Linked DNA regions of Caenorhabditis elegans. The protein of the gene in region 2 purifies or fractionates together with the protein of the main gene of each other region. This does not show direct contact. Each region holds a gene or a part of one and is shown on either strand. Other genes may lie near its edges. The genes, in order: F41G3.6, ddi-1 and F21C10.7.

Region 1 (9,433 bases), on a different chromosome or scaffold from region 2:
AAAAGTGCACAAGCACTTTGCAAACAATATATAAATTTTCTAATGCGCGTATAATAATAATAATAATAAAACCCCGAAAAAATATTATGTAATACCTGATAGACAGCTCCAAATGCTCCTTTGGCGATAAACCGTACGACTTTATAGTCTAGAAGCCGATATCCTTTATCCAATTCAACGCCTTCAGAGACTTGATTCTCACTATTTTCTAAAGATTCGTGCGTGGCATTGACAATTGGAAAAGTTTGATGTTACCTTTACAAACCGTTCCCATGTTTCAACGGTGATAAATACACAAAATGAATAGAAATAATTACGAGACGGAAAATAAACATGATTATTTATCTTACGTTGTCTGTGGTAGAACTTTTCACGCACACTTAACAAAATATTTTTGAAATGTTCATAATTTTTACGTATAGGATCGTGATTTAAATTTTGAACAGAGGCTTTTTATGGTAGTTAATTCTGTGTTTCCGCTTTAATACCATCTTCCCTCGAGCTCAGCTTTTTCTTCTATAGATAATACCCCGAGTTCAGTCCAAACCTGTTACGCATAGAATATTCCTCTATTTATGAACTTTTGATAATTTTTTTTTCAACCAAGATATAAGCTTTCAAACTACGGTAATTCTAATATGGAAAATACTTTAGACCTCATTCCTAAATTGTCACATATTCTATGCCTTCTGCCTTTGATTTCTTCGTCTGAAATTTGGCAAGAAATCTGTTTACTAGTAAATTCATTTTCCAAATTTGTAGCTTTCTAGTCTAATTACACAGTCAGAAATCTGAAAATGAATCATACAATTTTCATAATATCAAAATGCAAAAACATTAAATTGTAGGTTTGGTTATCACTCAGAAAGATACACTTTTTTCGGATAAAACAATAATGTTTCTATTTCCATCTGCAATGAGTCAACTATTCAATTATCTAAACCACATTAGCATATCATAATGTATTGAAGATTAGAAACTAAACATAATAAGTAGATTACAGAACATATAATCTTATAGGACATCTGAAAATAATCTCACCTGCTACTTGGTCGAGTGACGTCAGTAATCCCCGTGTTTTAAGATTATAACTGATTTTCTCGATCTTCAGAATGCTCAGTCATATCAGAAAACTACGACTTCCTTCTCATCTGATTAGCTCTCAAGCATAAACATAAAAAGCTCCTTTTTTCTTCATTTGGGCTTCATTTTACCACCGAGATGCTCACACATCTGAAATTCTTGCTTCTAGTGAGCCTTTTTATCAACTTCGCCGTAAGCTCTGAAGACATCAAATGCGATGCAAAGTTCATTTCGAGAATCACGAAACTCTGTATTCACGGAATTACTGAAGATAGTAAGTTATTATTTTGAAGAATTGAAAGCTTGAGAACATCTAATGTCCTAAATTTAAAATTAAATTAATATCAAAAAACTTTCAGAACTTGTTCGTCTTCTCACAAGATGCTGCACATCTCACTGCTCCAAAGCTCATCTGAAAATGTTCTGCACCCTGAAACCTCACGAAGAAGAACCACATCACGAAATCTAAAAATCTAGAAACTATATTTTTTGTTGAATAAAGTAATTAGTTGACGAATAGTCGTTTTCTAATAGTAAGAGTGCTGCTAGAGGACTTCCAGTTAAGACCCGTTTTCGTGAATAATGCATCTACTGGGATTTCCACAGTAGTCAGGCAAGTCTTCATGACTACGTATTTTCCAACTTGGCACAAACGCCTGAGCTTGGTTTTCACCCAGAATAGATTACTAGATTATTATTTCTAATGTATAAACTAACTCAAAATAAATTCAAAATAAAAATAATATCAGCGATTTGCTCCGCCCATTTTTAAGCCAATCAGACGGAATTGGTAGAGATCGAAGATGCTGATTGGTTAGAAAGTGGGAATTTTGGAGGAATTTCAAATAGAGATTCTAACTAAAACTTTTAAAAAAATCGAGTTTTTTTGAGTTTGGATTTTTAAGACTATTCATGGTGCATCGAAGAAACATCCACATTTATGCTCCTCCACAATTTATAGTAGTCTCTTGTTTTCAGAAAAATCCTTGAACTGTCTGGAAGATATCCGATTCTTGTAAGCGTCATTGTATTTTCAGTGAATGGAACGTATAATTTTTCTTGTTTTTTGTATTTTAAAATAACTGTTCATCGAAAACAACTATCACCCACCTTAAATTACAGATTGTATCGATGGTATAAAAAGAATATCCCGAGAGCTATTTTGTTCATTTACATTTCTTTTCTTGCCCAAAAACAAATGTAAATTAATTTTCAGATAATGAAGCTTCTTCCTCTCATTGTGGTTTTTGCTCTTTTGGCAGTCATATCAGAATCATATTCTGGAAATGACTTCCAACCTCGTGACAATAAACATCATTCCTATCGTGTGAGTCATTCTGAATAAGTTGCATTTTTGTAAATGAATAATTTCAGTCATGTGGGGAATCGTTGAGCCGACGAGTTGCATTTCTGTGTAATGGTGGAGCTATTCAAACAGAAATACTAAGAGCTCTGGATTGTTGTTCCACTGGTTGTACGGACAAACAGATCTTTTCTTGGTGTGATTTTCGTAAGTTAACAAGGAAGGAGAAACAGAATTATTCAGGTTTAATTTTCAGAAATTTGAACAGGACACAAATAGTTTCTTTTCTACTTTGCCATGTTGAATAAAAACATTGTTTCATAACATTTTCCCATTCTTTCATTAACATTGGCTAGCCCACTCAGAATTCAGAACTTTTCACAGAAATTTATTTCAAATTGGCAATAGCAGTAAAATGCGCAATGATAACTGGCAAAATAGTCATGGGATTATGAGTGAATGGATGAAAAGGATACCGTTCAAAATATAGCACACGAAATGATTGAAAGCCGGATGGGAGAAATAAGTACATAAATAATATGAAATTAGTGCCCTATCTTTTAAGATTGAACACCTCATTGACCAAATTGCTGAGCTCATCTTTCTGGTGCAATTCTGGAACTTGTTCGTGCGCGTCAGACGTCAAATCGAGAATGATCATTTTCACTTGCTTGCAGTACATTTGATCGCCCAGCTACAAAAAATATTATTGTTGATCAAGAATTTAAGTTATAATATACCTTAAACTCTGGAAGATTAGCGACAACTTCAGATCTCTGGCATAAACACATCAGAATTTCAACTGTCAGTCTCATTACAAGTGGCTCATCCTCTGTGATGCTCCACAGCGTGCGAACAGCGTCCGCCATTGTTGCAATGTCGTCTGGAGCGAAAATACAAAAACTTTAATGATGAATTCTTAACATTATATCTTACTTGAAAGTTGGAAGAAAATTGCAGCGAGAGCATCGATTAAATCATAACGTGATCCCGACGAATAGATACGACGAACAAATTTCTGGGCATCTGGAGATGCGGCGACTTCGTCAGAATCACTGAAGACGCGAAGAATAGCTGAAATTAGTTTTGATTTTGGAAATCTACAAGTGATAAAACAATATTACCAAACAGGACATTGGCTCTCTCATCGATTGAAAGTTGGTCCAGGGAGCATTGTGAGAGATATCGTAGCAAAAGACAGGTCTGTGTGATTCCGACACCTGTGTTCCAGTCGCCACCTCGAGGATCAGTTGGGAGAGTGGGTCTGTAACTTAGAAACTGCGAAGTTTATACTTAAATTATTCTTACTTGTCGCGAATGGAAACCGCCTCTCCTCGTGGGACCAGTTGTGATGGATGGCACCGAATTGCTGTTCCGAGCCAGGCAATAATATCATCATGTGTCACTTCTAGAGACAGCTCTCCGGCAAGTCGAACCATCGTTGTGTACATAGCTGAGAATGTATTTTTTAACTTAATTTCAATGAAATAATATTACCAATTGCAAGATCATTATCCGGGTGACAGAGAAGCCACATTCCGACGTGACTATCGGAATCAAGTTCGAGATTTGCTTCTTTTCTCTTCTTGTGTTCTTCGTCTCGAGCTTGTTGATAAACCATGATGTCCCTGCTCTCTGTGAAGAGTCCCTCTGCAATAAAAAAACTTTGAATCTAAAAACTTCATATCAAACGCACTGTTTCTATTGAAAGTTCCAAAGTATCGCATTTCGATCTGAAATGGAGAATTAAAATTTGAAAAAAATGCCAAAAAATGAGATACGATTCGATCGAACGAATTGGTGGATCCAAACAATATGAAAATCGATCGAGAAACAACAATTTATAACAGAAAACATATTTAAACGAGCAACAAAATTAAATAATCAAACAACGTTTTGAAGAGACTCCACGAATTTGTGTCGGCGTTCGGCGGTAATTTGACACATTTTCTGAATATGAATTAAGTTAGTGATCGTAAAACTACATAACAATAAAATACCTTTAAAAGGGAGAAAGAAGAAAACTGTCCTCGTTCACGAACCATAACCATGTGATCATCTTTTCCAACAATTACAGAACAAGTTGCTCGACACACTGATATTGCTTCTAATGTTGGAGACAAGAGGAGAACTTCAGACTTTTTGTCTGAATTAACGTCAACGAAAATACCGAATGAACAGCACATCAAAGGTTCTTCGAGCGTCAATCGATGCATTGTTCGGTAATCTGCTTGAATTTGTGTTTTTTCAATTGTCGATTCGTCGCCCTCGGAATGGTTTAATACAATCGACGGGAGCTTTGCATCTACAAGAGCGGCACCGAGAGCGCACTGAAAAATTTTAAAATTATGTTTAAAAAAACAAAATCTTTTGTAAATACCACAGCTGCATCCAAAAAGTTTCCCTCGAGACTGAGCACTTTAACAATGATATGAAGTTGCCATTCCAGAGGCAAAGGTTTGCCACAGACATCCAAACATCGCAAATTTTCGCGTCGAACGAAACAATTATTTGTGAATAACGAAAGCAAGACACTGTTGCAGTCCTCTGCGTCTTTCTATAATTTATATGAATACAAGTAAATAAATGTTCAGTAGCTAACCTCTGATAGCTGCTGAGAACCTTCAATTTTGATATCCACCAGGGGTGCATCACTAACGAGTGAAACTGAAGCTTGAATTGAACACGAAACAGTCACTCCTTGGGTACTGACGACAGATGAACCAACACCGCCACATTCTCCTTGCTGAAAAATTGAAAAGTTTACATAGAATTGAATCGTGAGAAAAATTACCTTAAAAACAAGTTTTTGTTCATCAAGAAGACCACGTCCGTCAGGATAGACTCCTTCTTTGATAAAAGTTGCAAAGTATCCACGTGGATCAATGCCTCGAAGTACTTCTGATGACATTGTTGATTAGCCAATTCTTCTTATTTTACCGGCAAAATCAACGCGCTGCAAAAAACAAATTCTTTATAAGAAATAAAGTTAGGTGTGCACTAGGGCGAGTTTGCTTGGGAGACCTCGCAACAATTTTCGCAGACACCGGAGAATTGAATCCACAAAATCTCCGATCGTAGAACGGCAAAAAATAAGAGTTTCTTTTTTCTTGGAGAAATATATGGTGAAAACTCAACGCTTTTTATTTTTATTCAACACACCATCTAATTATTATTAATTTTATTGTTCAAGAACGAGCAAAAAAGAAAGTTAACAACAAAAACAACAACTTTAACAAGGGAAGTTTATTTAATTTTTATCAAATCTGACTTGTTCGGCAAATTTAGCAATCATAAGCGCCGCCGTGACGTGCACATTCAAACTTCGAGTATGCCCAACTTGTTTGATTTCCACAGTTTGATCAACTGCGCGTAGTAGATTCACCGGAACTCCTTCTTTTTCATCGCCCATAACAATCACAGCCTGAAAATAAAACATTATTTATTCGTTTTTCTTAAAATACAGCTTAATACCTTCTTTGGGAATACAAAATCATGCATCATCACACTATCAGTCGTCTGTTCAGCTGCGATCACTGTGTATCCGTTGGCTCGAAGATTTTGAAGATATGGGAGCAAGTTTGTTCGTTTAACCCCTTCGATTTTCTGCCAATTCTCTGAGCTCATGCTCAATGCTTTGAAGTTCGCATCCTGGGCGACGAGAACATCGGCAACGACAAGTGTGTCAACTCCAAAAATTTCAGACGTTCTACAGATTCCACCAAGGTTGTTCGGTTTATCCACTAAAGAAGCCACAACAATCAGTGAAATTCCACCGTCGTTCAGCTCGTTTTCCTTGACGATTTTCCGTTGGAACGAAGTTGATGCATTGGTATTTTCAGGTTGTTCATCGAATTCAATTGGAGATTCTTCTTCACCAACATCCTCATTCTCCATGCTCGGAGCACAACTGGCATTCTTCGACAGTGCAGAATAGACTTCTGAAGGAGCAGAAAGAAATTCTTGATCTTCATTCATAGATTTAATTTGATGTGTGATGTTGTTCATCTCCATGATAATATTATTTGGAATTGTTTCTTCGGGAGGCATTCCAGTACGTTTCGCAATTTCTGAGAGGATTGTCTGGAAGTTGAAATGATCATTGATATGCAATTTTGCAAAGTAGAAATCGGAACATAGATTATCAATGACTCTTTTCGAATTTCCAGACGGTTCCGCGTCAAAATTCACAATTGCTTTGACAATTCTCCACTTCTTCCGACGATCCTTATCAAACGTCGAGAACATGAGACGAGCTGCAGCTAGAGCTGTACATCTAACAGGGAAATTTTGAGCAGTGCACCATACAATCACTTTATCCAGACATGAATCTACAAATTTCGGTGCCACGCGAGCGATTAAATTTAGGACATTGAGCCATGAGCAAATTGAGCCAATTCTTTGGGAAGCCATATTTTTCTGGAAATTGGTGGTTTCCAAAAGAATAAAATTCAAAAAATACCTCAAACTCTTCATCGATGAGTTTTTCGAATAACTTTTCAAATTTAACGCAGAGCATCGCCAATGTCCATTCAACAATTAATTTGATCGAAAATTGTTGGCATGGATCCACGACACAATTGATGCAGAAATCAAAAACTTTCGAAGCAGATTCCTGAAAATTGAGATTATTTTTTTGAGAAGTAAAAGAAAAACGTACTTGATCTTCAATTTTCAGAGCCAATAAATGCAGCAATTCTACTGCCCTCGTCTTCTGTCGATGAGCCATTGATAGACCAAACGATCGGCTTGAACTTTGATCCATGATGGCGGATGCTTTAAAGATCTCTTCAATTAGTGCGATTCGCCAGGCGTTGCCATCAACTACCGTTGATAATTTTAATGCTAACAAAACAGCTTTGAATCTTGCTGTTTGAACGACTTCATCGAGTCTCTCAACTTGATCCTTCTTTAAATATGAGCCTTCTTCTTCGAAAATCATAGAATATGCGTATGAAATAACTCTTGATTCTTTCTTCGGAACAGGCCCAAATAAAGCAAGCTTCACAATAAATGGCGCCCAATTTACATCTAAATTTGTTTGATACTTTGTAATGGCATCTACAAGAATCAGAGCAATCGGAGTACTTTGGCTGGCAACTGCTAACTGAGCTTCCAATAATTCGATTGATTCTTGAGCAATAACTGGATCACTTTGAGGGCCACTCAGAGCCACATGGAAAAATGATCGAAGAGCTGGAAGACTGTTCAGTGACTTTTTCTCCTCATTCACAATGCTTGCAGATGCTCGAATACAATCCAGAGCCAACTTGTGATCTGTACATTTCTTGATAAATCTTGCAATTAGTAGGCATAATTGTTGTTTAACTGGGAAAGCTGAAGCCACATCAAGTTGTTCCACACATTCAGAAAGAAATTGATTTTCGTCAACATCTTTTATAAATCTATAATTTTTTTAATCAGTTTCAATTTCAGAGCATCAACATACTTATTGAGCAGGGACAATCGAAGAGAATGAAGTGTTGCAGAAATCTGATTGAACTCCTTTGTTTCATATTCCTCTACCGATCTATAATTTAAAAAATATGATTTTCTTCGATTTCATTTTGAATACTTACTTTTTCATCCTTTTCATTCCGATAACTTCATTTCCTCCGAGATACTTGTAAAACTCAATTGCCAATGTTTCGTAGCGCTCTTCTGGAACATTTTCGACAAGAGCGTTGAAGAATGTGAGGCATACTGTAGCTGATTCGCATGTTTTCAAATCTCCTAATACTTGAACAACTGCTAGAGCAAATGGTATGCTCAGGTGGGAACAGTACTTATTGAAAAGTGGAATGTGAAGCGATTGTAGTAGCTCCAGCTCTCGTTTGGAACCTTTGTTTGATATAATCTGCGTGAGAATGTATTCACCTAGATCGTTTTTCATACATTCAAGAACATCTGAAAAAAAATCATAAATAATATTTATTTTAAACGAAATTACCACTACTGAAATCCATATTTTCCGGCCGTTCCTTGAGTAAAAACAATTGAGATGTCAAATCAGCAGTAGGCTTCTCTCCTAATAATTCAGAAACTTCTAATTGAAGTCTTGACAGCATTCTTTCCTTCTGAATGGTTGCTTTTCCCATTGAAATCCACCACATTTTTGCATGCAATCCTAAATTTTTGGAATCATTTCCAAAAGTTTGATGGAAAACATTTTCGTCCTGGTTTTCATTTGCAATGTATGATGTTTCATCGAGAATATTTTGAATTTCTTTGAACACGGCATCTATCATTATAGATGTGGCATCTTGTGAAATGTAGGATATTAGATTTGAAAGCTCGTGGAGAAGGGTTCCATCCTGAATAAAAGGTTAAGAACATTTTGAAATTTTCCAAAATATTAATAAAACTTACCAATCTCGTAATTTTTGCATAAAAAACTATCAAATTGCGAATCGTAATTATTCTTATCGACTTGTGTGGAATATATCTCGCTTTCAAAACAACTCTTCTCAATAATGGAACATCGTCAGAGTTCAGAATTTCAGTTTTGGCAATTGATCTGAGAGCGGATACAACAAAGAAAATTGCAGTCGGACAGGACATTAATTCAATAGAAACCAATAGATTTCGGATGAAATCTGGGGTTTCTCTGATTGAATTGAACATTGAACCAAGTTGAATCAGAAATGCATCCATTCGTCCTTTTTCCAAGTTTCTCCAGAAGACGTCATTATTATTGAGATTCGGTATGATGAGTGATGTAATCACATGATCATTATCCTTTAGAATCGATGCATCAATTGAAATACTTTTCTCAATCGCCCAAACTCGAATCCATCCATTTGTATGAAGCATAGCTCGGAATAAAGCAACTTTCAACCATTGGAAATTGAGTTTTCCATCACGAACCGAATTCAGAAGCGTGTCGAATCGAGGTAACACTGGACGAATGATGTGAAACTGTAAAAAAACCAATTGTAATTACATCGCAAACAAGCTTTCCGCCGAAAATGCGATACCAGGTCTCGACACGATAAGCGCCTTTAAAAAGTACTGTAATTTAAAACGTTTTGTTTCTGCGGAGTTTTC
Region 2 (9,959 bases):
AGGAACTGTTCGTGTTCCAGCTCCGTGTCAATATGCCCACAAACTTGCTTTCTTGACAGCCCAATCACTTCACGATGATGCAAATGGGTACCTCCGTGACAAGCTGTTCTTCTTGTAAAACCCATCCTGTGGATTTCCCGTTTTAATCATCTGTTCTATTAATCATATCATTGTAATTGTTCAAAATTTTAAAAATCTCTGTTTTCAAAGAACTTTTATTGACTTCCTTTGTTGTAGCACACGCTGTTATCGCAAGAACGAGCTCAGTAAATAGTCAAGTGTTTTCAATGCGGTTGTTCCCGTTTTTCAATAGTGATTGCATGCAACCTTATGTTGTGAATAAAGCTATATTTGTTAACCTTTTCAAAACATGGATGTTGAATATTTTTACGGCTTCTTCTGGAGCTATTCTAGTCTGGAATTTGGCACATTCTTTAACAAATGCTAAAAGGCAACAATTCCTAATCTTGGGAAATGGTTCAATAATTGGTTCGTATTTGCGGATTATTTCTGAGTTCACATTGGCTATTGAGCTCGCGAGTTTTGGAAACTAGGTTACAATATAATGGTTCATGAATAAAACGTGTTGAAAATCATAAGGTGTTTCAATGGAATGTATATATACAATATATACATAAATAGGAGAATAAATTAGAAGGAGAAAGTGAGATGATCAGAGCACGAACCATCCACGGTCCTCGACGTATGGTGTTTCCAGATTCAATCCGTTAATCTTTTCGAACTCATCATCAGACAGTTCCAAGGAAAGAGACTGAAAATTGAAGGTTTTCATTTTCGTTTTTCCGATATTTCAACAAAAAAACCTGATTTTTTAAAAAAATAGCTTTAAAATTTGGTCGTTTTTCCTCCTTTCAGAAGAATTTTTCATCAACATAAGCAACATTTCATAAAAATTACATTTTATGGTTTATTTTCTGAATATTTTTTCCTAGTTTTTTTTTACTTTCAATTTTTCAAAATTCACCGTGTAATTTTCTGCGACTCTCGATGGAGTGACCGACTTGGCAACGACACCATATTTTCCTTTCATAATCCATGCCAAGATGACATTCTGTAATAAAACTAGAATTATGATCATTCGTCATCACTTCACTTACAGCAACTGTTGTCTTATGACACAAAGCAATGCGCTCCATCGTTGAATCACCCAGTAGAGTCTTGTTCCCACGCCCGAGAGGAGAGAAAGCCTAAAAAAGTTGATTAAAAAAGTTTTTTACTGGGAATATTTACTTGGAAAAGAATTTCGTTTTTATTACAGTAGGCGCGGAGGACTTTTCGCTGGAAGTGAGGATGATATTCGATTTGATTGACTTGTGGTTCAATTGTGATGTAACTTCTCATCTCTTCAATGTGATGTGGTTCGTAGTTTGAGACTCCGATTGAGCGAATTTTTCCCTCGGCTGGAAACGGATAATTGATAATTTTTCCAATTTTTCAATAAAGATTGTAATAATACCATGCAACTTCTCCAGTGCAATCCACGTATCTTTACGATACATTTTGTTATTTTCATTAAGATCTTCAGTGTCAAGAGGACGAGGGTAGTGTACAAGAACCAAATCCAAATATCTGAAATTTTCATAGGAAATTTAAATAGATTTTGATATTTCTTCTTACTTTCTATCTAACAATTCCAGTGATTCATTGACATCTTTTCTGATTAGCTCAGCAGCATTTTTACTTGAATACGGAAACACTTTGGATGTCAAGTAGATATCCTCAGAACAAATATTGTGACGTGGGAGAAGAGTCTGAAAGTTGTTTGTCAAAAAAATATTTTCGATCTAGCGTATAACCCAGATGACAAAATTTCCGCTAAAACTACTGTACGCGGTCTCGAAACGACAATTTTTGTTAAATACAAACAGATGTGCTCCATTAAAGAGTACTGTAAAAAATTTTAAGCTTTCGTTTCTGCAGAATTTTTATTGATTTTCACACGAATGATAAAAATGGTTGTGTCTTTAATTAAGAAAAACTACGAAAATCAATTATAATTCATGGTGCAACGTGAAGAGAATGGAATTACAGTACTCTCTAAAGGCGCACACCTTTTCGCAATTAGCAAACATTTGCCGCGCCGAGACCGCGTAACGTATGTTTGGCACAAAACGCGAGTCTGGGTAATGATATATTTTCTATCAGATTCTTTTTTTCCTAAAAAAGCATGTTTGCGTTTTATTTCGTTAATTCATACTTTAAGAGCTAAACCCAAATCCTTTTCATTTTCATAGTACTTCGCTGTGTCGAAACTACGGTATCCAACTTTGAGTGCTTCGTCGACAGCTGCGAAAAGCTAAAAAAGGTAAAATAAAATAACGAAGTTCAAAAATAAAAAATATTCCAAACCTGATCACCTTTGGCTTCGTATGTCCCGAGAGCCAATTTCGGAATTTCTTGTCCGTTCTTCAGCTTGAACATTGCTGCTATTTACAAAATCTATTATACAACCTGAAAAACGCCTGTGGCAACAAAATGGACAGCGAAAATGAAAAAAAAATATATATTTGAGATATTTACTGGGAATTTCCCATGGGAACAACTCGTGGTAGTTTCCATGGAGAAAAAAGAAGTGATACGCACAGAAAGAGTGTATTTGCAGAAAAAAAAGAATTCCGTATAATATTTGCAGTGAAGAAAATACAAGTAAAGTGGCATTGAAATGTTTTTGATGAAAAGACAAGGAGATTTGAAGGATAAATTGTAGGGGCGGAACTATGTGGATCCATCTTCGAATTGCATTTCTTCTTCAGGAAGTGCCATAATCTCTTTCAGATGAGAATCAATTTCATTGGATTGAAGGAATGGAGTTGTTGTTCCGTTGCCAAACTCCAATCTCAAAAAGAAAAAAAAATTTAGATTTCGCGAGATTTTCGTGAGGGAAACATACCGTGAAGTTTTCAGATTAATACAACACCCATGCTTACGGAGCACATTAAGCCCGATGAGAAGATCCATCTCACGACGAGCCATTACCTCGAATGGGCATGAAAAGTGAGCATCTTCAACTTTCACATCGCCTGAAAACATTTATTAAAATGAATGTGAATCAATGTTGGAAACTTTTGACTCACATAAATGAATCTTTCCCTCGATTTTCTCTGTTCCACCAACTCCTCGGGCCATTGACTGGAACCGTCTATCGATTAATCCATTAAGACCACAACGTTCAGCACATGCCATTGACATGATCGATTTTTGAGCTCCAGAATCAATGAAAGCTTTGACTGGAACACCATTTATAGTCAAATTGATGTAGAGCATTGTGACGGCAATCATATCTTCTGGGTGGTGGGTCATTGACTGAAATTATAACAATTTGTATATATTTACAGGCTTCTATTGTAAACTTACGTGTAAATATTGTTCATCAATCAGTTCTTTATTTCTTTTCGCTTCCAAAAACATTTTTGCTTCTGCTGAATTTGGATTGTTTTTGATAATTTCTTCCTTGTGAACTTCTTCTTCGACGTAGGAACGGAACATTTGCTCGAATTCCTCTGAAAATTAGATAGGCGTCAGATAAAGATTTAAAAAATGCGCTACTCACTGTAAGTCATATCTTTTTTCGCCAAAAAGCGTTCAACAAGTTCCGGCAAACCGTAGCCCAATTTGTGTGGCTCGTTTTTCAAACGGAAGAACATATTTTCTGAGAGCGCTTTGAACGTCGCAGGAGAATCCAAAAGTTTCCGAGAGAACATCGATTTTTCACCTTCATCATCTTGTTCAACTCTCCGTGTTCTCTGAGCAGACTGTGCTGAGGAAGACGATTGTCCATTAAAAATACTCGACGCAGCTGAAGCGAATTGCGAGATGAGCCGGACTTGTGCTGGAACGATCGATCGGAGATCTCCAGACGGACATGGGAACGCAGTGGTATATATGTAAACCATTGAAATTTGAGTGACGCCAAGTTGCTGAACTTATAGTATGATTAAGATTTTCTTTAACAATTCGATTTACCTCTAATGTCACTGTTGGACCAAAATTCTTCGATTCATCCGAAATATCGTAGACAATTGCAGTATCTTTCCAAATCAGTATTGCGTCGTTATTCAGATCACCAATCTGCAAAAAAATTGAATAAAAGATTACATTTAAGTATTAAAACTAACAGTTGTGTTTGGTGTAACACTTTTCTTTTGGAATGGTCCATCGTTAACGGCTACGCTCACTTGGAAAGACATCTGAAAATTAGAAGAATAAATGAGAAATGAGATTGAAAAAGGAAGAATGAGAAAAAATCGAAGAACATTTGCGTATTTGTAAATGAAAACGCTGCATCTCTAGAGCATAAACGCATCTAATCGATGAAAAAATTAATTACACAAAACCGTTCTCTCGGGAAACTTTTTGTCCTTTCAAATAAAGATTCGAAAGTTAAAAGAATGGAACCTGAGAATTTGTGAAGTAGAACATTTTAACTTTAACTTTATAAGCTTTCTCGACAACAGCTGTTCAAAAAAGTGTAAAAACTTGTCTAAAACTCGAGAAATTCTCGTGATGAAGGACGAAAACGGTGCAAAACGATGACAAGGAACAGATATGAAAGTGCGCCCCGCTGAGAATTTTTGAATTAAAATTGTGAAATGACTGTAATTTTTGCTGGAAACTGCCAGTAAATGAGGAAATATGTGTTTTACGAAATAAATTATTATTGCTGTCGTTAAAAATTCACGATTTTGAAAAAAAAACTTAACATGTTTTTGCTTCAAAAATATTTTTCCGAGAAGCTACAGTATTCCGACGCAAAATGTTTGGTATAATATTTTTATTCTCTCAAAAATACATCAAAATACAGAAAACAAAACAAATCAAAAACATTTATTAACCCGTAATGTTCTAAAATTTCGCAATAATTTTTGCAACCCTTTCAATAATACGACTAGATAAACCAGGAGATAGTTGAAAATGGAAAAAGTTGCCAAAAGATTCGGCTTCTCTTAAAAAGAAACTCCATCCTTTAATCAATCGATAGTGTCGGACAACTGCAATTTCTGGCTCCACAAGTCGGACTCCATAGATCGGATTTCGGAACTTTTGAACTCCGTGCACACCCATCGAGTCAACATTTCGGGACCGAATAATCGATTTTGTAGTATGATTCTGCGGTGCCACGTGGCTGGTGTTATGCCAAGTAATCATTGGAAGATTCTCAATTTGAGGAGCACCAGAAGAAATTTCAGAATATCGAAGAGTCCATTGACAACGAAAACGTAGTTCAGAGATTTTATGATCATTGCAATTTCTGTCAATATAGAGAGTTGGATAAAAAAGTAAGCAAAATGAAAACCTGATATAATCTAAAAGAGTAGATTTCTCATCAATCATCATGATCCTTTCGTCCAAATCAACCGTTGCCACCCAGCTTGAGTACTTTTGAGTTCGGAATACACAGTCCTGAATTAATTTTATTTTTAAATTAAAATAATTGAAACAAACCTGTAACTGCATCTCATGTCTGCATCTATGACGATTTAGACATTTAGTTTCATTTCCCATTTGTATTACTTCAAGGTTTGAGGAATTTCTATAGAAATCCAAAACATTTTCAGTTTCCTTTGAGATGTTGAATGAGTAAATTAGAAAATGGTCAGCGCCCTGAAATGCACTTTATTTCTAAAAATAACTACTCTACCGTAACCCCAAGACACTAACCTGCAACTTATAATATTCAATAAATTCCATCAACATCAACACTTTCGGAGATTCTCCATAAAGTGGAGCAAGACATACAGTAAACTCTGATTTGTTCTTTGTTTCTTTTTCTTTGTAAATCTGCTTCATATTCCCTGGAACATCCTTTTTGTTTATAGTTACAGCAACGAACTCGGCTTTTACTGAGGAACTCTCCGAGCACTTTATTGTTAATTCGGGGAAAACTGCCACGGCTTTCTGATAGATTTCCTGCCTATTTTCATCGAATAAACGACAGTAGACACGTCGGCTGAAAATAATTATAGATATGGAATGCTCACTAAGCTTAATGGAGCTGCTGCTCAGGAGTAGTCACCCGATCTTTGACCAACGTTTGACCCCTAATATTTAAACATTGCAAAAAGTAGTGATTTCGGCTTACATTCAGACATTCAACTGAAATCTATTTTATTTGAAAGAGTACGTATAAATGTGGTCACTATCAAACATTTAGCGGTAGAAGAGCACTTTTTGAAAGCAAAATAAATAATTTAACAACTGTCTTATAAAATTGTTTTCCACTTCTCATGTTGTTGTTAAGATGTTTTCTGAACCTAGAAACTACGTGGTGTGTCTTCTAAACAAATTTTAAAGATAAAACTTAACATTTTTGAACGATTCGAGTGAAAAATTACGTTTTTTTCCGAAAAAAAACTCCAATAAGCTACCAGAATGTTCACCAACTCGGTAAAATTCATAAGCGCCAAATCAACTTTTTGGAGCAATTTTAAGGATCTCTGAAACAGTAGAAAAAAACTAAACTGCATAACTTCAGATAGTCTTTTTTTCTTCAATTCAAAGTGTTGCTCAGCCGCTAAATTGTTTTTGGGGACTTATTTTGAAGGCTCTATCTTAAATGAAACGATTTTCATTCGAAATTCTAAATCTGAGCCATCTACACATAAGACATTTCACTTTAAAAAATATGTTCATTCTGTTTTCCCTTACTTTAAATACCCATAGGACGATAAGATTACTGTAGTTCCATCATCTCCAGTAAAAGAAGAGAATATCGTGAGTTTATCTGCATTTGAGTAACCGATAAGTACTGATTTCGAGATGACACCTTCAAATTGAGGTTTTGGCTTTTGAGCGAGTTTTGTGGTTGGCTCCAAGTTTTCAAGATTTACCGGTTTCAGAACTTCTGAAAAAAACGCGATTTGATAAAAGTACCATAAATTAATTTGCTGTTTCAAATTTTTTACAATAAATAACACATTTCGTGTTGCTCTACTGTATTTATTACAAACCCTAAAAACACCTACCGTACTCCTCATCGAAATAATCTTCTCCATGAGCCGACAAAAAATTGCCAATTAAAATGCAAAAAAGGGGGAGAATAACCAGAAAACCGATGAGAAAAGTTAAAAATTTTATACGAATTCGCATAATTAATGAAGATCAAATCAAAAGCGAAAGCGAGAGAGAGATGATGAGAAATAGAGATATAGAGAATACAGAGAATCGGAACGGCGACATTTGACCCAAATTGTACGATTTTGTTGAGACATGGAACGGAGAAAAATGAATATAAAATTGTTGCGTATGCAAAGAAAAAGGTGGGAATTCAAACATGATAAGCAGAGGGGAAGGAGATAAGAAAAAAATATGATAGAAGGTGTGGTAAGGGTAACAGGCACAAAAAACCTATCAGCCTGCCTACAAGCATGGTGGAACTCTGAAAATGCTGATACGCCTGAAAGGTAACCGTAGGCAGGCGGATAGGCATTTTATGCCGTCATGAAAACCCTAAGTTGGGGACTAAAACAATAGAAACTGGTATTTACTCAATTGGTAGAAAAAAGAAAACTGATGCATAATATTGCATCAGAACTCATAAATCTTCCAGTAACGGTCCAAATTAATCCGAAGAAGATCGTCCAATTGGTTTGGGATGTCGTCTTTCAAAGTGAGATGTCAAGAAATTCTCATTCAGAAATATTTTCCCACAATCGGCGCACTGAAATAACTTTCAACATTTCAAAATTAATTTTATGGTAGGTTTATGGTAGGTGAGAGTTTTCAGTACTTTTTACTATAAATCGAATTTTCAAATAACTTTCAAGTTAGAGTTAGAGTTAGTAATTTGATTTTTTTTTATTTATTTTTTATTTATTTATTTTTAAATTTTTTTTAAATTTTTTTTAAATTTAAATTACAGCCCAGAGGGATCACCACCAGGCAGTGTACCTGAATCCCAGATCCGCAATGCATAGCACTTGAAGAACGGATCGTCCTTTAATCCTTTTTAATCATTTTTGAAACAGTAAATTATGATTAGGGCAATTAAGGAGAAAATGTTTTTATTTTCTTTTCTGACGTTCCACCTTTAATATTTCTCTACTATTTTTGTCTTTAAACATACTTTATATTTATCATTATTCTCCGGCGAGCCACCGGACGTTTTTCTTTCCATTTTCATATTTTTTGGTTTCAATATTCTGGATATGTTCTCCGATTCCAGCTTCTCCATATGTTTCAGAAGTTCTTGCTGAGATTTCTGAAAAATAAATTAAGCATTTTTAAGTTTAAAGTTAAAGTTAACTAACTAATAAATGTTCAATTTGAAGTTGTGCTATCCTCAAAACTTTTCGATATCTTTCTTTCACTTTGTCATCATTTTGGGAAATTGAGAGAATTGAGGGAAGTGCGGCTTGAAGTAGTGGAAGAGTTCCGACTCCGGTTTCAAGCAATGGAACTGATATTTCATCTGAAAATATGGTAAACTTTATCCTATATTTCTCCAATAACTAAATATGCATACATACTCGTCAGGGTGGGGAATGAATATAGCGCCGCATTCAGGTTGGTGTAAAAACTACAAATAAAAAGATTTTTCCTAGGAATCTAACAAAAAATTTATTCCCCACCACGTATCCAAACAAAATCATGCGATTTGTTGCTTTTTATGAAAAAAAAAAAGAAACTAAATTTGTCTGAAAATCGATGAGAATTATGAGTTAAGAAAGTTTGCTCCTGAATATATACCAAATGTGTTTCTGCTGAAAATTGGATTTTTAATTTTTGAAAAATTAGAAAACGCTGTTTCGCAAAGTATTTAAAAAATTATACATATAATATGTTTATTATAAATGCAAATATAATATAACTCACCTAAAAGTGCCCAATTTGGAAGATTTGTGGTGATAGCGATTGCTGTAGCTGTTGCTTGATATTCTTCCTCTGCCATTTAAAGATTCTAAACGTAAGAATTTGATATGTTTTAACGGTGAAAATGCTTTCAAGCAATTGAGAAAAATAATACAAATAACCAGATCAAAAATCAGAAGGCCAACAAAAATTTTCCTACTTAAAACTTGAGAAACGACAATAAAAAATTTTCAAAGCTAAAAATACACATGTTTTTCCAAATTAGGTGGAGGGTGGTAGAAAAGGTGGCTCCTCAAACGAGTAGAATGCCTAAAAACATCACTGCCAAAAAATTTAAGTTAGAACAATTTGTTGCAGATTTTGTAAACCAGAATCCCCAAAATTATAAAATGCAAATAAAAGCAAAGCTGCTAAAACGTTTGATCACTAGGAATCAAATGTTTGTATGCTATGGCTTCACTGCTCGTGACGTACATAGTTTTATACTCTTTACACAGTTTACGGAGGCTTGAACTTTAAAAAATACGTTATTTCTTATGTAGACGGGAAATTACATTGGGTGTCTGAAAACAACAGTGTAAAAAACAATAAATAAAGATGTGATATTGAAGTATGGGTTTAATAAAAGTAGAGCTGCCTAAAAATAAAATTTGAACTTTAATTTAAATCTAGTTTTCAGAGCTCATTCTCGGAACTATTTTGAAATAAGCAGCTAGTCCTTGGTAAGCCGGTATTTTTCATTAATATCTATCATATTATCATAAAACCAGATGCTAGCGGCTATGATGGGAAAACAACAATTATTTTGAAGATCCCAGGAACATCACTGGCAAAAGTGGTAATTAAACCGAAATGCCACGAACTTAAGGTTCATGTGATGTCATTATAATATTTATTAGGAAATAAAAGACTATTCCATTATAGGTAGGCACTCCATGCCTACCCATATGCCTGTCTACAGGCTCGTTAAGTTTGGTGTGAGCGTGGGTGTTTGTACAATGCTTTGATTAATTGATTGAAAATGCTACTGGGAGATATAAAACACGCTCAAATACACTCGGGGAATCATGTAGGTACAAGAAGGCTGCCTGGTAAGCAGACAGGCTTTTTTCCTATATGTAACAAGGGTG
Region 3 (10,419 bases), on a different chromosome or scaffold from region 2:
CTTGATAGTTTTTCTGTAATAATTTGTTTAGATATTTGGAAAGTTAAACAAAACTAACATCAACATCGCTTGTAATAACTTCTGTCTGCTTAACAACTTTTGTAACTTTCTCCTCGTGAGGTGTTGCCAGAATATCGTCGATTCTATCAATTTTTGGTGTTTCTTTAGTGAAAACTTGACGCTCCGGTTGAGATGGATTGTGTACTTGTGCGATATTAGCAACAGGCTGTGATCCAGTAGTTGTTGCTCTGTGAGTTTCTGGTTGTGCAGCTTGTTGATACTTAGCAATATTTTCGACTGATGGGCTTCTCCTCGTGAGAGTAGATATATGAGATTCTGGTACCGGAGATTGTCTAATCTTGGCAACATTTTCTAATGATGGTGCCTTTGTAATGGATGACTGATGGGTTTCTCTCACTGGAGTTTTTCTGATTGTTGCAACATGTTCTGAGGTTGGTCCTGGAGTTGTTCTTGCTTCATAAACTTCTCGTTGTGGTGATTGTCGGATTGTAGCAATATTCATAGTTTTAACTGTTTCGTTTGAAGAAGTTGATCTTCCCATAACTGGTTGAACTGGCTCATGTGACTGTCCGATGTGTGAAATGTTAGTGGTAGTTGTGGTTGTATGATATCCAACTGGCCTTGGAGATGGTTCATGAACATTATGTGAACTGTATTGATCCATTCCTGATACTGTTCTAGTTTCAGTAATATCTACTTCCCTCATTGGTGACCAGATTTCATCAATTGTATCAATCCATCTCTGCTGTGATTCAGTTTTGCGTACTTCTCTGATTTGCGGAACTGGAGAAATAGATCTTTGGGACAGATGTTCCTCAAAATGTTGTTCAACTAGTTCAACCCATCTCTTCTCATCAACAATTTTTTCAGGTTCTCTTGGTTGTGGGAAATCTGTTTTTTCTCTTGTTTCCAACTCCTGACTCTTTTTAGTAATGATGGTTTGCTGAACTGGTTGACCAATTTGTTCATTCATATCTTCCTGAAGATGGTGTTCCGTTGTGACAACTCGTTTAAGGGAAGGCTGAACATGTACAGTCGCTCCAGTAACAGCTTCTCCAATCTCATTCTCAGCTACTACAGTGTACATTCCAGCATTAACAGGAGAAATTTGCTGAATCGTGAGTCTAGACCAACCATCTTCTTGCTCTGAAATCTGCACTTGGCTCGAAGTTTGAACAGGCGAATCGTTAAATTTCCAGTGAACTCTTGGTTTGGGTTCACCATATGAGAATACTTGAAGTGTCGCAGTTTCTCCCTCTTGCCACGTGGTATTTGTAAGTGCTGGTTGAATAACCGGTGGTCTTTGAATTGGAGTTCTTGGTTTTGGAGGGGTTTGCGGAGGTGGTTGCTTCTTTGGAACAACTCGTAGTTGACAGAAGTTTGCTACTTCTCCATGTACATTTTTCGCACGGACTGTGTAAATTCCAGTGTCTAGGGGAACAGTTTTATCGATGATCATTTGACAATGATCCCCTGAGAATGTTAAATGAACTCGTTCGCTTTCTTTTACTGCAGTTTCTTCTTTGAACCAAGTGATCTCTGGTTCTGGTTTTCCAACAACTACACAGTCGAGACGAGCTGTTTCCCCTTCATTCACTTGAACACTTTGCATTTGTTTCACGAATCTTGGTTTGTCTTCTTCCAGAATCGCAGATGACATTGCACTTCTAGCTGTAAAATCAAACGTTCAATAATAATAATGCTCAACTTGAGTAAAACTCACATTTTACAATTAGACTAGCACTGCTGGATGCGGTTCCACCTGTATTGGTTGCTTTTACAGTATACTCAGCAGTGTCCTCAATGAAACTTTCTTCGATAACAAGAGTTGCAACTCCATTCACATATTCCTGACGGTAATCCATATTGCTCTTCACATCAATTCCATCCTTCAACCATGAAATTGTTGGTTCTGGCTCTCCATTGATTCTTGCTGAGAATTCATATCGACAACCTTCGTCAACCTAAAATTAGAAAAATATTTAATTGAAGTTTTTAGAAAAAAATTGTATTATTAAAGCTAAATTCCAATGGATTTCGAGTAACTCACTACATCATCTTTTAGTTGAGTGATAATCTGTGGAGCCTGAACTCGACTACGTTCCTCCTCCTGTTTTCGGACAACAATGTTTTGAGAAGCAGCCTGCAAAATTAATTTCAAAGTGTTTATTTTTATTTTTTTATGAGCTTACTCTCTCATGAAGCTCCTTCACTAGTTGTTGAACTTGTTGTTGCTTGGTCATGGTTTCCTGTACTGTTTTTGTAAATGTTTCATCTTTTCTAAATCTTGATGCATCCTCGAGTCTTCGTGTCTGAGCAACAACTGTTTGCTGAATTTCATTGACTTTTTTGATTTTAGTCTCTGATTCTTGGACTGTTTTTGGAGTCTTATCAACCAACTGAATTATTTCGATAGTTTCTTCTTGCCACATTTGGATCTCTTCCACAATTTTCTTCAGAATCTGAAGTTCTTGCTTCTCTTCAGGAGTCAATGTTATTTGAGTTTGTTCAAGGCTGGTGAGCTCGATAGTTTTAGTCTCTTCAATCGTTTGCTGTGGTTTTGAAAGTTCGAAAGTTGCAGAAATAGCCTTACGCTCCAATGTTTCGGCCATTTCCCTGATAACTTTTTGTTTTTCAACAGCTCTTGAAATTTGTGTCTTCACTGCAATATCTCTAGCTTTTGCCACAACATCCTCAATTTTTGGCTGCTGAACTTCAATAGCTTCTTTCACGAGCTTTACTTTCTCTTGCAATTCCTGGCTCTCCTAAAATTAGTAAACAGTGAGAAAAATTTTAAAAATTTATTACCTGAACAGTTTTCATTGGCGTACTATCAAACATCTTGATAATTTCAATCATTTCTTCTTGCCACATTTGGATATGTTCTGTTACTTTCACGAGTTTCTGTTGCTCCAACTTTTCTTCCAATTCAACTGTCAGATGTTTGAGTTGTTCTTGAACGTGCTCTACCTCTTCCATTTTGTGCACAAATTCGGGAACTGAAAAAAAAAATAAAGTTTTTCAAATGCATTCAAGAAAAAACAGCGCAACCGTTGCAAACAAACCTTGAGACATTTTTTTGACTTCTTGAATTCTAGCTGACTTGTGTTCGATGGTCTGTTGCAAATCATGAACTCTGTCAATCAGTTCATTGGCTTCTTGAATGCTTGCCGGCTGAGTTCTGTCCAACATTCGGATAATCTCAATAGCTTCTTCTTGCCACATCTGAATCTCTTGCACCACCCGAACCAACTTTGATACTTCCAACTTCTCTTGAAGTTCGATAGTAGTACGACGGATTTGTTCTTGATTCTCAATTGTTTTATGCAGCTGAGTTTGGAATGTCTCATCTAAAAATTGAAATCTTTTTCTGAATGTTTTAAAATTTAAACTAACTATGCGAAAGTGTTTTGCATGCTTCCAAATGTTCGCTCTTCTTGTCGACTTCAACTTTCAAATCTTCAATTTTTCGCCTTACTTGCTCGAACTGCTCTTGGTTGTTGGATTGAGTAGTGACAACTTGATTCATGTTTCTTATTATTTCAACCATTTCTTCTTGCCATATTTGCACATCTTCCACAATTTTGAGCAAAGAGGTAAGTTCAACTTTCTGGCTCAACTGATCAAGCCGTGTTTTGACGTAATCAGTTTTATCAATTAAAACGTTGATTCTACTGATTTGTTCTTCATTTTGGTTTTCTTCTTTCAATGTCTCTAATGTTGATTTATGCATATCAGCAGCACTTTTGAATGAAGCAATCCTCTTCTGAATCTCCTCAACTTCCTGAAGCAATAAATAATCTACCAAATTACAGTGAAAAATTATTCAATACCTCTTTCTTTGTGACCGTTGAGTTATCGACCTTTCCAATAAACTCTAAAACATCTGTCTGCCACATTTGAATCTCTTCGATTACAGTTTCAACTTTGGTTTGTACATTCTAAATTTTTAAATTACTTTTGCAAATCCTACATTTTATCGATTTACCTTATCTCTCTGCCACTCAGTCCATTTGTGTTGAACGTATTTGAATCTGTTCTCATGGTCGGTAATCATATTGCGAACTGCTTCTTGAGCTCTTTGGATATTCAACCACTCGTCTGATTTTCCGATTTGAGTTGCATTTGATATGAACTTTTCAGCTGAAAGATTACGTTTTAAAAATACCAACCAAATTATGGTAACAAACCTTGATGTTTCTCTTGACTCAAAGTTTCTAAAATCATCTGGAACACGTTGGAAATTTGTGCCGCCACTTTCTCATTTGTATATTCTTGATTGTTCTCCAAAAGTGTTTGAAGAGCATCAAATGAACCTTCAAGGTCTTTTCCAAACTTGTGAACTTGCTCGTAAGTGGAGCCAATTTGAATTCGGTTCTCCGAAATGTCTTTTATTTTTTCATACTTCTTCATAAAATCGGTCAGTTGTTGTTCTTCATCTGGAGACATTTGTGGCTTCTTGGCGAGAAGACTCATAACGTCAGCGTCTCGGTTGACGATTTCAGTTGCAAATTGTTTATGAGAGACAACGAAATCACGAGCATCATTCAAATTTCCACCCATATCACCTTTCTGTGCTAAGAATGCAGAAGCTTGTCCATCCAGCCATGATTGGATGTTTGAGAACTGGAAATTATAACCTTTGAAGTTATTATAAATTAATGGTAACGTACATGAGAAGTCGTCTTTCCAGACTCTTTCCTTTGCTTTGCAAGAGCTTCTATCTCACGCAACTTTTCTGACAAATCTTCAACGTATTGCTTGACAAGTCGTTGTTCTTCGTAGCTCAGAACTTCTTTTGCTGCAAGAATAATTTTTACCGATTCTTTTTATTGATAATTGACCTGTTAATTATTTTTAGAAAACTTACAAGCGATATCCTTTCCTTCGTGGATAAGAGGAGATGCTTTCTGCTTTGCCAAAGGTGCTAGCTCTCCAGCCATAGCCGCATTTGCGCATTTCATGTCTTCAACCATCATATTCAACTGAGATACCATCGATTTTGCGGCTTGAAGGAAAGCGTGAATTCGATGTGATCGATTCATTCGGGTTTTCAGATAATGAAGGAATTCCTCAATTCTACCGGAAAGATGAGAAATACGTCCCCCGTCTGATGATGGACTCTGCGCTAGGTGACGAAGACGGGATACATGCTTCTGAAATGTGTAATTGCTTTTTCAGGTACATAAAATTGAACCCACATTTCCTTCAGTAAGAACATTTTTCTGTCCAGCATCGTTGAGAGCTTTGACTTTCTTTTCCGCATAAGTTAGCCATTGTTCAATAACAACGAGTTCATCTTCTGTTGTAGTTGTAGCATTTTGTTGTGTTGCTCCCGACTTTCGCTGCTGCCAAAGTCCTTCGGATCGTTCCCAATCAGCAGCAACTCTTCAATTTTACTTTTTAAATAAAATGTTATAATTTTAGATCTTTAAAAAAAGTTGCAGAACTATATTCCTAGGTTTTAAAAAGTTGCTTACCTCAACATAACACTTTCAATTTTTACTGATGCATCTAAAATCTCTTGTGGTCTCTCTGGATTGTCATCAAGTTGTCCCAATGTACGAATTTGTGAAATGACGGAAGATCCCAAATCTACTACAGAAGCAGTTGTGTCAATGATGTCTGAAATTTCAGATTTATTTTTTCTTATTATAAAATCAAAGCTTACCATTAATAAGCTTATCGATGGATGATTGAAGTTGTTGAGAGTTTTGCTCGTTGATTTGTTGCACAATTTCAATAGTTTTAGCATTGGATAACTGCAGTTAATAAAATCACAATAAAAAACGGTTTCAAAAATCAACTAACCTTTTCATGACTTTCAGCCAATGTATAAAACTGTACAGTCTCTCTGAGCATATATCCTCTGAGGAGAAGTTGTCTGTTCAACGATCTCCACGTCTGAAGATGCGACATTTTTAAGGTCGTACTGAAGACTAAAAACATGAAAACGCATTCCGTCTGGATTCCTACACTACGCAGATTAATGGGCTGATTTATGTGCAGCTGGGTAAGAATACTAAAAAAACCGAAATGCATACAAACCTCCCGCAAACTCTTCGCCATTTCGTCGTAAACAATCGCTTCGTTCGGATTCGTCTTTTCTGCTCCGAGGCTGTCGGCACGACTCAAGAGAGCTACTACCTGGTCATCTTTGTCCTGAACAGTAGAAATATATTATAATACAACTTTTGACAGAAACTCACTTGAAGCCTTCTGATGAGATCATCATGGATGTTGAGCAAATCTCTAGCTTCTTGTGATGAATTTCCTATCGAAAGTAGCTTCGGCTGCATTTCATCAACACGAAGTTGGATATAACCAGCACTCTAAAGAATTTAGGTTTAAAAAATTAATAAAAATAGTTTCAACCTTTAAAAGTGCAACTACAATTGATGCATTGACACCAGCTTTTACAGCAATTGTTGATAGTGTTGTTGTTGATTTATCACCCTCTTCACTATGTCCTCTTTGCGCTACAGCGCTGAGGTTGGCGTCATTCGGCGCCCCTCCTGGCGCCATTTTATGATGGTATTGTGATCTTTCTGAAATATTGGAAAATTTATTGGTTACTGAAAAAAAATTAACATGATTTGAGCGAGATTGTTAAATTTGGAGAAATATGCAAGATCCAGTGTCAACAGGTAATATAATCTCAGAGTTTAGCACCCCGGGGCAATATTACTAACAAAAATACGGTAATCTGACATTTTAAAAGATTTCAAAAACTGAAAACCGGAGAAAGAAAGGATGATGGATCAAGCAAGAACGCTGAAAACTGGGATGGCTTTCCAAACAATTGGCAATTGTTGATGGCAAAATTTGGAAGAGAAGGGAGCAGGGTGAAAAACAAAAAACCGCTTGTTCTGACTTATCAAAATATGTTTAAAATTTAGACATACGTTTTCTTTTAGTCGGACTTCAAAATAGGTGTCTCTTTGTAAAACTTGGAGTATAGTTAATTTAGTTTACATACAATACTCCAAGAAAAATAATATCCAAGCATAAAAATAAGTAAGTACAAAAAATTAGTATAAAAAGTGCCGCCCACTCCTAAGGTTGTCCAACTTTCTGTGGTGCTCTCCTACTATTACACACGTTCTGACTGGGGATCCTCTCTCATCTTCCTCTTGCTTCGGAAGGAAGAGTGTAAAACATTGAGCCAAAGCACATCAAGAAGTGGGATGAAGCAGGAAAGGAGAGATAGAGAGAACAACAACACAAAAATGCGGGCGGAGAGGCGAAGGAAGAGGTGATGGATAGAGAACAAAATGGAGCAGGAGCATCAGATCATTGTGGGAACAGAAGAAAGCCGAGAAAAAGTGATCAGTTAATTGAATCTCGTGTATATTGATAAAAAATTGATAAAAATGATTGAAAGGGGAAGGATTAAAATTTATTAAAAACTTGTTTTTCTCAGATCAAAATCAGAAGTTTCAGGAAATCAACTAGCGTTAAACTTGTAAAAACGCACTGTTGAATGAATGAGTATCTAAAAACCAATTACAATGAATGATAATTTCCTACTTGAAATTTGAAAAAAGTTTTTATTCAACTGTGTGAACGGAACGCCAGGTAATTTTTATTGAAGAATTAGCAATGGTAACTAATGAAAATTCAAAATTATCACTCAAAAAAATTTGAATTCTCTTTGTTTGAAACAACCATTCAAAATTATCCGTCTGGTATCGAAAAAAAGAGTCGAAGAAAAATTAAGAACAGATGTACTCTAGACACATTGAAGGCGCCAATTGTTGGTGATGGCGGTGTTGGTGAGTATGGTGTGTGTGGTCGTGGGACCCGTCCGTCGGTTGTTTCTTATCCGCCCATTACAACGTATGGGAACACATCTCGACGGAGTTAGCCAAGAGATCAGCTTCTTCAGATTTTTGTCCAGTGCCACGTTTTCGGATGCTGCTTCTGCAGGCATTTCCAATCGGGAAGATTTATTGCAACAACACACATACAAAAGGATATTCAAGTTATTTTTCGAATATTTGTGTGAAATTTTCGAAGTATTCGGGTAGCAATCAGAGTTTTTCTAAATTTTCACGTTTTGTTTTCACACTACAAGTTTTATGCTTTCCGCAAAAACATATGTAGGCTATTAACATAAAACGGAAACAACAAAAATCTAGAAAACATAATAAACACAAAATTTTCCACATGGTTTGTATCTAAGTTATCATAGGAAATTAATTTTTAATTTTTGTCAAATATGATTTGCATTTGTGTTCTGAAAGTTTAAAAAACTCTAAAAGAATTGCTAAATATTTTTGGAATAAAGTGATTTTTCTTGTATATGGAACATTTTATTGAAACAATTGAGGCAAGAATATTAAAATGGAACAATATGAGCATCAACATTATTACTTCTTTCTTCCATAATACTGTTGCTGTTGCTGAGTTTGCTGTGCATTCATTTGTTGATTATTCGACTGTTGTGTTCCTGTATTAGGTGATCCCATTGATTGGGTGTTGGTCTGTTGATAATCTCCAGTTTGATATTGTTGATTGTTCATTTGTTGGTTGCTGGTCTGCTGATATTGGGAGTTTTGGTTCTGGCCATTCGACTGTTGGAATTGATTTTGACCATTTTGACCATTTTGTTGCTGGTATTGAGTATTTTGGTATTGTCCATTTTGATTTGCTTGCTGGAATTGTGAGTTTGATCCCATTTGGTTTCCATAAGCATCACGTTGTGGGGTATTTCCAATGGCATTGGTGTTTGTAGTGTTTCCACAATTTTGAGCGTTACACAAACATGGAGCCTGTAAAGATAAAATGTTAAGATTTGGGCTCAATGAGATATTTGTACCGTTGGCATGGTTGGCATTGTTGGGATATTTGGGAAAGAATTGTTGACTGATGGAAGAGTTTGGAAGACTGAGTTAATCCATTGGCCAACCTATAATCGAAAAATTAGACGACTAAATAACATTTTAAATTCTTACATATCCGTTTACTTGGTTCATGTATTGATCAACGCTGTTTCTGTATTGTTGAATTTGTTGAAGTTCTTGTTGAGTGGCTTGTCTAGTCTGTCCATTTTCAATCACTTGTCCATCCTTATACTGACAGTTTCCATTGTTGAAAGAATAATCCATAAGGGAGACACTGCTACTTCCACTGCTAGCTTGACTCTGGCTCATTTGGGAATTTTGATTAGAATATCCATTATTGGAATATCCTTGCACTTGTCCAGATTGTCCCATTTGATTTTGTCCAGCGTCATATTGTGCTTGTGTTCCGTAATTATTTTGTTGTCCTTGCTGATACTGATTAGAGTTTTGCTGGTTGTTCATGTTTGATGTCGTTGAATATTGATTCGAGTTTTGCTGATTTTGCATTTGATTTTGATTGTACTGAGCCGTGGAACCATATTGTTGATTTTGGTTATATTGAATTGGTTGAGCGGTTGCTCCGTTGTTGTATTGAAGAGTGCTAGATCCATATTGATCATATTGAGCACCTTGGGAAGGTTGATATTGTTGATTCGTAGAATACGCGGCTGCAAATTGATTCGTAGTGAATGTCTGTCCATTGTTATCGTCTAAAATTATTCTAACGTTTTTCTAAAGTTAGTTTAATTCTGAGTTAGTTCGAATCATAAAAAATTGAATTTTAACTCACATTGTTGCTGAGCGGCTACCGCAAGAACGCAAACTGATAAAATCGTTAAAAACTGCATGATTCGTGAAACTTCTGTTCTTTTTCGACGACCTTTTCACTTATATACTCAATGATCGGTTGCCAAAATGAATCAACGCAAATAGACTCGTGGACACTCCGCCTCTTTCTATTTAACTTTCTTACTTTTCAACTAACTACTGTGGAGAAGAAGATTTGAAAATCCAAACAATCTACACTCGGTGTTTACTAGAAAAAAGAAAAGAGTGACAGTTTGCCACTTGATCACAAAATAATGATGATGAAGTTTTGATTGGGTTGTTATAAAAAATTGACTTCCTCAATTTCGCAATTAATTAAAAAATTTCTAATTTATAATGTTTCTGTTTCAATGAGCTTGCTTCTGTGACATGGGTTCAGAGATGTGAAGTAAATATTTGAGAACATAAACTATTTCGGAAGCGAGATGAACATTGTAGTCTTGTAGTAGTGGCAATAATCTTTTTAAAAGTTAAAAGCTGTCAATAGTTTATTTCGATAATCAATTTTTATATGGATTGTAAAAGTCGGTGTTGAAATTGTCCCAGTTGTATTGGTAATATGGGTACAATGGATTGTACGAACTTTGAGCCGAATAGGTTGGGACAACTCCGGTGCCAATCTGATATGTTGTTGGACTATTCCAGAGACGGAATGGTTGATAGTAGGGATCAGAAGAACTTTGGTAGTATGGATTATACGCGCCTTGGTAGTATGGATCTGAAA

The links.
Region 1: the proteins of ddi-1 (region 2) and F41G3.6 fractionate together in Caenorhabditis elegans (co-fractionation; one large-scale study listed by BioGRID). This does not show direct contact.
Region 3: the proteins of ddi-1 (region 2) and F21C10.7 fractionate together in Caenorhabditis elegans (co-fractionation; one large-scale study listed by BioGRID). This does not show direct contact.

The regions. Positions count from the first base shown.
Region 1 is NC_003280.10:6,737,600-6,747,032, reverse strand, and holds F41G3.6 (DUF2013 domain-containing protein), read right to left. Parts: upstream 4,120-9,433; 5' UTR 4,114-4,119; coding exon 4,083-4,113; intron 4,037-4,082; coding exon 3,884-4,036; intron 3,840-3,883; coding exon 3,695-3,839; intron 3,651-3,694; coding exon 3,511-3,650; intron 3,461-3,510; coding exon 3,323-3,460; intron 3,270-3,322; coding exon 3,127-3,269; intron 3,081-3,126; coding exon 2,940-3,080; 3' UTR 2,766-2,939; downstream 1-2,765. Other genes in the region: F41G3.5 (non-specific serine/threonine protein kinase), read right to left, coding at 96-208, 256-274; ins-14 (INSulin related), read left to right, coding at 1,222-1,357, 1,443-1,552; ins-15 (INSulin related), read left to right, coding at 2,303-2,410, 2,458-2,694; exos-8 (Ribosomal RNA-processing protein 43), read right to left, coding at 4,271-4,336, 4,387-4,716, 4,767-4,943, 4,989-5,132, 5,181-5,297; T14B4.1 (tRNA/rRNA methyltransferase SpoU type domain-containing protein), read right to left, coding at 5,637-5,810, 5,861-6,805, 6,849-7,001, 7,047-7,791, 7,836-7,916, 7,966-8,293, 8,337-8,700, 8,756-9,304.
Region 2 is NC_003282.8:6,517,123-6,527,081, reverse strand, and holds ddi-1 (Protein DDI1 homolog 1), read right to left. Parts: upstream 4,216-9,959; 5' UTR 4,209-4,215; coding exon 4,137-4,208; intron 4,090-4,136; coding exon 3,985-4,089; intron 3,939-3,984; coding exon 3,572-3,938; intron 3,522-3,571; coding exon 3,376-3,521; intron 3,325-3,375; coding exon 3,096-3,324; intron 3,042-3,095; coding exon 2,912-3,041; intron 2,858-2,911; coding exon 2,737-2,857; 3' UTR 2,511-2,736; downstream 1-2,510. Other genes in the region: C01G5.5 (NADP-dependent oxidoreductase domain-containing protein), read right to left, coding at 674-772, 986-1,072, 1,119-1,208, 1,252-1,421, 1,478-1,590, 1,639-1,772, 2,219-2,317, 2,371-2,442; gtnt-2 (Glycosyltransferase family 92 protein), read right to left, coding at 4,864-5,269, 5,315-5,421, 5,464-5,622, 5,680-5,968, 6,667-6,862, 6,984-7,107; dzpr-1 (C2H2-type domain-containing protein), read right to left, coding at 7,580-7,678, 8,084-8,218, 8,268-8,428, 8,833-8,908. UniProt on the Caenorhabditis elegans protein: Aspartic protease. Required for the cleavage and activation of transcription factors such as isoform a of the transcription factor skn-1, which in turn regulates the expression of proteasomal subunits such as rpt-3.
Region 3 is NC_003283.11:9,108,917-9,119,335, reverse strand, and holds the start of F21C10.7 (Ig-like domain-containing protein), read right to left. Parts: upstream 6,570-10,419; 5' UTR 6,547-6,569; coding exon 6,397-6,546; intron 6,354-6,396; coding exon 6,231-6,353; intron 6,184-6,230; coding exon 6,070-6,183; intron 5,926-6,069; coding exon 5,833-5,925; intron 5,784-5,832; coding exon 5,693-5,783; intron 5,647-5,692; coding exon 5,502-5,646; intron 5,410-5,501; coding exon 5,223-5,409; intron 5,178-5,222; coding exon 4,892-5,177; intron 4,823-4,891; coding exon 4,695-4,822; intron 4,648-4,694; coding exon 4,212-4,647; intron 4,165-4,211; coding exon 4,010-4,164; intron 3,963-4,009; coding exon 3,855-3,962; intron 3,806-3,854; coding exon 3,418-3,805; intron 3,372-3,417; coding exon 3,087-3,371; intron 3,021-3,086; coding exon 2,830-3,020; intron 2,787-2,829; coding exon 2,214-2,786; intron 2,165-2,213; coding exon 2,072-2,164; intron 1,986-2,071; coding exon 1,745-1,985; intron 1,693-1,744; coding exon 59-1,692; intron 14-58; and 1 more. Other genes in the region: pqn-31 (Prion-like-(Q/N-rich)-domain-bearing protein), read right to left, coding at 8,394-8,795, 8,843-8,932, 8,979-9,577, 9,658-9,715; F21C10.18 (Nematode Specific Peptide family, group B), read right to left, coding at 10,196-10,413.